Caenorhabditis elegans: one gene and its partner. The protein of the gene in region 2 interacts with the protein of the main gene of each other region in a pairwise test. Each region holds a gene or a part of one and is shown on either strand. Other genes may lie near its edges.

Region 1 (4,831 bases), 6.4 Mb from region 2:
TATGTTGGTAACTTTTTTGTCATAACACATTTTTCGAACTTTGTTGTATTTTTTGTCAAAAAATGAGTTCCGTATTTTTTCTATTAGTTTTGCAGCCTCTAATAGTGTTGCAGTCTTTATTAGTCTTTCACCTCTACGGGTCAATCCAAAATTTGTCTTACAAGCAAGATTGATTCAGGAAACACGGTAATTCTTTCTACAATTGTTCTGGCACTATATAATATGTTCTAGTAAGGTTATTTACAAGTTACAGCTCATAATATTACTAACAATTTGTTTTCCCTTTTGCACAAATACATTTTAATTGTCAGATCAACTTTAGGTATCCATATTTCTTAAATTACCAAAGAGTAGTTGAAAAAAAAGAAGCTAGAGCATATGACGGTCATTTTTGTCTGCAAGAACATTTGAACCAGCAAGCCCGTCTCACCCAATGCGGTGATAGTGTCAGGTGGTAGATTTGTATCGAGTGCTCCACAGAAGAGCAGCAGCTAAAGAGCATAGGGGTAGAAAAAGAAGAACGTATGTGTGTGTGTGTGCTTCGCCAGAATTGTGATACGTAGAGACAAGACGACGGAGATTGGTTGATGAGACGAAGAGAGAAACTCGGGACCCGTTGCTATCTTCTTTATCTTTAGACCGAAACTTTGAAGATGAAGAAGATGAAGCGTCCGGAAATATAACACACTAATAACCCTTCGTTTTATCATTTTTGACTCAAAATCATACTGATTAGCATCAATCGTTCAACCAGTTCTTTCTCATCCTTAACCATCCATGAAAATCCTGACACCTGTTGTGCCTAGAATTTGGTTTCAAATGGCTTGTACTTTCTCTCCTCCTTAACAACAGCAGCTGTCCACTGCGTTAGAAAACCGGAAACCCGGCACGGATCCGTGTTGGCTGCTGCCCCTGAAGAGCTTGGTTATCTTTTTTGCTAGGTGTCACAAGTGTTGATGAATTTTTGGAACCAACCTGAGCTTTTTTTCTTTTTGCGTTTTTTGTTCTACCCAGTCGAGTGATAAACGTTAATTGTATGTGTTCTAAAAAACAACACATTTTCCGAGAAAATTATGTGAAATTTGTGTATATTTAATCAAAAGTTTAGAAGCATAAAGAATATAATATAAAATATAAATTGCTTTATTTTATTTTTAGTTTTGGTTTTTTGTGTAGAATTATACGACCCTTTTTAAATTTTATGATAAATTTCTAATAATCCAGATAAATTTTGCTCTGGAACCATATTAAATTTGAGTGTATGGCTTCAAAACCTTCTTTTTTTAATTTCAAAAATAGAGTTTCCACTTAAAAGTTACAACATCAGAAACTCACTTCCTCACAACGTTTATCTTCAAATATCACGAAACGAGGTACATATATATCTAAAATCTTAATCATAATCTTCAGTTTTATCCTAAAACTCTCGAACAAGATGTTTCTGGCCACATGATTTTTTAACACATGTCTGAAGATTCTTGGTTGTTGGCTCCTAACAACGCCTGCCTTCCTATGTCATTGCTCAATTTTTGACAACTTCCAAACAGAACCCATATTTACTCCTTCAGTCACACGACAATTTAACTGATTTTCCTGATTGCCCCCTTTTCGTCCCGCTTTCCTAACTAAAAGCCGTCACTTCTCATTTGCCAACACAAATTGACATGATGTTTGCATGTAAATAATCGAACCGATCTATAAGCAAAGCGTGTGTTTATAACATGTATTTTTCCTCAAACACCACACGTTTACCTTTTATTCTCATGACTTCCGGTTGCCATTTTCAGGAAGGATAACGAGGACAACAAAAACTGGTAAAAACATTTGAAAAGCAACGTATTCATTTAAAGTGATGTAAAAAATGGAAGGCATCGAGGAATCATTTGCACCTTTATCTCCCAAAAGCCCATTTGCACGCAGAAACGGAAGAAGGTAGATTTTTCGAAATTTTTTAGATTTTCAAACTTTAAAAAATTTAATGATTTAGGTTTGCCAGAATCCTAATGCACTCAAATTTAACATTTCGTTTTCAAAATACTTATCTTTGCTTGCGCAAAAGATATTTTGAATAAAGATTTGAGGTCTGGAATTAACCATTTGAGCTAATCGGAAAAGAATTAAGAGAAAAACGGGCGAAACCCGACATTTAGATTCATCCAACTTGTTTCAAAAGCTTTCAAAAAAAGTATAATAATTTTTTAAGCACCGTGTTAATGATGCAGGGTGGCCTATAATTGTGGGCCATCGTGTAACGTAATTTCCCTTCTGTTGTGGAACTTTTTTTCAAAGTATATTTGAAACATAAATTTAATTTTATGTAGACAACTTCAATTTTACTGTAAAAACAACAATTCACATCATATGCATAAGAAATTGTTAAAAGAAGAGTAACAGTTTGGTTTGTTTTTTCTTCGTGCTACAACTGATTCTACAATCTGCTTAAAATAAATATTTTTACCAAGACGTCTTGAAGCAATTCTAAGAGTTGCAATACAGACCTGTCTTGTATTTTTGTTCTTGAAAAATAACTATGTGAAAGGTCTAAAATTCTCCAGTTTTACTAAAAACGTTTCGAAACATTGAATTGCTTCCAACAACCTTTTGATAAATGTCCTTCCATAAATCTAACCAGTGGCCCACATTTTGCAATTTGATTTTTCTGCAATCACTCTCTGGTCCATCTCTTTCTCCCCTTTCATCCCAATCAAAATTGAATGTTTCATCGCTTATCCGCTTGTCTACCGCCACGACCGGCGAGTGCAGCTAGCGTACGATGTAGTGAGCGTGGGATTACACACTCACCAACAGAACCTTGAGGAGAGACCTCTCGGCTCCTATCTATTCCATCTCAATATTTCATGTAATTGATTGAATGACTTTATTTTGGACTTTATCTATTCACTGACTACTTGCAAAGATGGATCCAGAAATACCAGGGTACAAAATATGTTGAATTTGTAGTAGAATGTTTATAAATCAAAAAATTCACTTACGGTCTCCCTCATTATATCCATTTATTTGCAAAAAATTTAGTTAGGTGAATTTAGAAAAAGGTGGTTTTTGTGTTTATCGGTTGCCCAGATAAAACAGTGCAATAAAATTGGAAAAATAATGAAGTGTATTGTTGTACATAAAAAATTTACTATTGGTTACAGTGCAACATCGAGTACTGTGAGTTTTTGAAAAATATTGATATCAAAAATTTATTTTTTTTACCGTTACAACAAGAATGGCAGGCGTTCGGCAATTCGCATCAAATTATCCACCAATTTTAGCAATTCAAGCAGTTTTCAACGAGATGCACATTTTTCAGAATCAGTGCCCCGGTGGCCGAGCGGTCGAAGGCGTGAGACTTATGATCTCATTGGGTTAAACCAGTCGCGGGTTCGAATCCCGCCCGGGGCAATATCCTTTTTTTACTATTAAATCAAGTTTTACCAAAGAATAACCATTAAAAGAAAAATAATTCGAACTGTACATTAAATAATTGTAACTACTTCAGCCCTTTTTAACCAAGTTTAGGCCACTATAGAAACATTTTCAGTGCAAAGTTTTCAGCGCATCCCCAACTTTAATTTATTTTACCCAACTTTAGCCAGTTTTTCACTAAATGCATTCCTAAAGCTGATAAGGTTGGTAGATATGTTGCGGCGTTCTTTCAAGAAAATATCTTTACATTTCTTCACCACAAACATTTTAATTGGAATATTAATGTTTTAGTATCAACTTTGTGAGTTGAAAAATTTTTGAAAGAAGCAAATTTTGCTAGCTGGAAATAATTCATATACTACTTCACTGTTTATTTCGTTGAATATCAACAATTTATTGTGTTTCAGTCTTCGCATTCAACGACTAGTCGACTGTCAACACTTCCATTATTCGTCTGTTGAATTGGGTCCCGTCCGTGTTGCCATCATCGCAATAAACGCTGACGAGAATGCAACAGAGCGGATAAAAATGCGTGTGGAAAGTGAATCAAATTCATGGTGAGTTGGTCATTCCTTCTGTTTCCAATTTGTCTTCAAAAATTCGTGCTCCGTGGTGTTTCTCTCGGTTTTTCTTTCAATGTTCTGCCACACAGAAATCAAACAAAAAAGCCACGAGTGAAGTCTCATGGGAGATGAGAATAAAGGCTGAATAAAGTTAGTACGAGGAAGAACAAAAAAGAAAAAAGAAAGAAAAACGGAAACTTGAAAGGTTTTCCATCATTGATTCATTCAGGCTTGTCGAACGTTCTCGGGAGGATTGGGCAGTCTTCGACAGACAGCTGCATCGTTGTGTGTTCGAACGAAGGCATTCACGACTTGACGAGCTGTTTCCTCTTATTCATCTGGAAACGGCAAAGTTCGAGGTGACGGCTTCTTTTCAAAATCACTAGTCATCACATTTGATGTTTACAGGAAGTTCTTGTCAAGTATACGGAGCGATTATCGGAACTCACTGGCAGCATTATAACGTGCTATCCTGTTCTGAAATTTTTAGAAGTAAGCGAAATTGTTTTTAACTCCAAACTTCAATTTAATTTAAATTTAAAACTGGCTATGGTTTAGACTTTTTACAGTATCTCTTCAAATTAGAAAAGTTAAATTAAAAAAGATTCGAATAAACCAAATGAACCCAAGACGATAAATATTTCATTTCAAGTATTGCAAACATTTCAGATAGGAAAATTTGTTTTCCTTTCTGACAGAATAGTAAGTCTGTATTTCAAAGAGTTATTCAATTATTTGAACCTTTCTCACAAAATTGGTGAGTTCTAGTACAACCTTGAAAAAATATCTTGTTCTTCTTATGATTTTGACACCACTCGCTCTTAACTGCAGTGCATATT
Region 2 (2,628 bases):
ATAATTAAACGATTAGTATACTTAGGATGTGAACAAGAGAAATAATTCTAGACTTGGCAATACTAGACGTCTAAACTAGACAATGCCTCAATTCGGCCAAAAGAAAAGAACAACTAATACAGTGAGAGAAATAATGACACAATGAAGCAATGCATAGTCTGCAGTTGAGTGAGGGGGTCCTCTGAACGCGGCGTTACAGATTTCTGTGCAATAAAAAAATCGATACCTGGAATCTTGCAAAAATGGGCGAAGAAAGGAGGAGAATAGGTGGATAGGATAAAATGCGCGTAGGATTTCATAATGCTATTATGTAGCAAGAGGGACAATGTTTAGGTACAAATGATGAAATTGGAGGTGGCTAGAGCGCGGCGTTACATTCAGTACAAGATAAATAGGCAAAAATAACGTTGTCTGAATTTATATCTTTACTTGAAGAAAAAAAAGAATGAAAATAGATTGTGCTAGATCCGCTGACATTGGAAAAAGTTAAGTCAATGTGAATAAGAAATTAACCAGATAAATGAATGAGAAACTGCCTGATGGAATAAAGCTCACAAATAAACAACCATCGGCTAGCTAGTAAAAATTACTTATTGAGAAACTGCACCACCTGGAATGGGATGAGCGCTCTAAACGCGTCGTAATAGGTTTTTGTGTGATCGATATCTGGAACCCAGCCAAAAAGTGGCAAAGAAGGGGAGAGAGAGAGGAGACGGGAGAAAATGTACCAAGATGCTCAAACTGCATATCCGAAAAACCGAGAAGGATAATACTTATACCAATCGAAAGATCACATAAAATTGAAGCGGCGGAATTTTGAACTCTAAAAAAGCCATCTTAGGAATTTTCTCTTATAAATTTTTAATACGAGTTCTAGAAAACGCTGTATAACAGAGGGAGGGGAAAAATAGGGGAAAAATACGTGTAGGATGTGTTAATTCATTTAAAGTTTCTTAAGATTCAGATTTTTAAGATTCAGAACTACTACGCGATTAGAGAGAAGAAACAATTTACTCTGGACAACTGAAATTTGATAGTAGCTATTGTATAAGTAACCCATTTTGGCTATGGCTAGTGTTTAAAAAATTGTTTGAAAAAATCAATTTGGGTAGAAATAAATAGACAACGTATTGGAATTAAAGGTTTGCCTAATCTTACATGTGTACTAAAATATATAGTTCTGATTGAAAACACTTATCACCGACTTATCATTGGCCAAAATTGCATAACTGCAGAAGTGTACGTCATTATGCGCAAAACTGCCCGTTTGATGTACCAAGAATGCACCCTACCATCCTACTTACCATGGTGTACATGATAGTCGGAATATTGAAAAATACAAATAAAGTTCTTATCTTGAAGCAGTTTTACAATGAAAATTAAAAAATAATTATTAACTAGTAAAACAGTTTATATTAAAGGAGATCATACCAATATCTACAAAAACAAACAGAAAAAACATTTATAGATGTCGATTTGCAATAAAACGACCATAATTATTGCGCCGAAAAACCGGGAAGAGGACGATAGGCTGCCCAAATGTGCACTGCTATTGTCCAAAACTCTGCAACAACAATTCTTGTTTGTAGATCTTTTCTCTCGATTTCTTACTCTAGAATCTGCTCTAGAATCTGCAAACAATGCAAAACAAGTCAATATTAAACGTAACATTGCAAATTATAAGAACCTACAGTAATAATTCTCTGGTGAATTTTATTTTCCAAATATCACGCCATTTTTATGAAAGGATTGGTGAATGAATGAATATATACAGTACTACCGTACTCCTACAGTACCTCTATAGTCTCACTGCAGTACCGCGACACTACTCTGCATTCCGAGAAGTACGAGCTTGCCGCTTGCATTTATCGTTTTCCGCGAGCGGTTATGTAAATTCCAATTAAGTCATGCTGCAATGGGGCGTCGATAGCTCAGTTGGTTACAACACTGACTTGCAATCGACAGGTCACGAGTTCAAGTCCGGCCTAGTCCCCCCAGGTTTGCTCAGCCTGGAGATTGATGAGTATTCATTGGGTTGCCATCAAACCCAATGTCTTATGTCGATGGTGGTGTCGGAAAAAAATCGCATGGTCTATTCTGGAGTTGGAGCTTAACTCCGCTCCCAAAAAAAAAAAAATTTGCGTTTTCGCGCTTTTTCGTTTTCCTCAAAAACACGACATCGGTGCATTTTTTAATTCTGCATTTTTTAATTTTGAAGGTCACGAGTTCAAGTCCGGCCTAGTCCCCCCAGGTTTGCTCAGCCTGGAGATTGTTGAGTATTCATTGGGTCTTCCATCAAACCCAATGTCTTATGTCGATGGACGAAACAAAAATCGAAAGGGCTATTCTAGAGTTGGAGCTTAACTCCACTCCCAAAAAAAAATTGTTTTTTACGCTTTCGCGCGTTGTTGTTATTCTTGAAAACTCGGCATTTACGTTTCTCTCGAAAGTAAAATTTCAGTGCACTCTTTAATTCCGATATCTGAAAACCAACATTTAATAATACGGAGATATATATCCCACAAATGTTCAAAACTACAGTACTACCGTACTCCTACAGTACCCCTATAGTCTCACTGCAGTACCCCGACACTACTCAACATTCTGAGACGTACGAGCTTGCCGCTT

The links. Proteins that work in one complex are often made in the same cells at the same time.
Region 1: the proteins of F23A7.4 (region 2) and rrc-1 interact in a two-hybrid assay, tested with the Caenorhabditis elegans proteins (one large-scale study listed by BioGRID).

What each region holds. Positions count from the first base shown.
Region 1 is NC_003284.9:9,828,241-9,833,071, reverse strand, and holds the start of rrc-1 (GTPase-activating protein rrc-1), read left to right. Parts: upstream 1-1,783; 5' UTR 1,784-1,861; coding exon 1,862-1,932; intron 1,933-2,768; exon of another isoform or gene 2,769-2,917; coding exon of another isoform or gene 2,918-2,937; intron 2,938-3,320; exon of another isoform or gene 3,321-3,405; intron 3,406-3,836; coding exon 3,837-3,986; intron 3,987-4,221; coding exon 4,222-4,351; intron 4,352-4,400; coding exon 4,401-4,484; intron 4,485-4,831. UniProt on the Caenorhabditis elegans protein: Functions as a GTPase-activating protein (GAP) for ced-10/rac-1 and CDC42.
Region 2 is NC_003284.9:16,210,699-16,213,326, forward strand, and holds F23A7.4 (RT_RNaseH_2 domain-containing protein), read left to right. Parts: upstream 1-1,907; coding exon 1,908-2,114; downstream 2,115-2,628.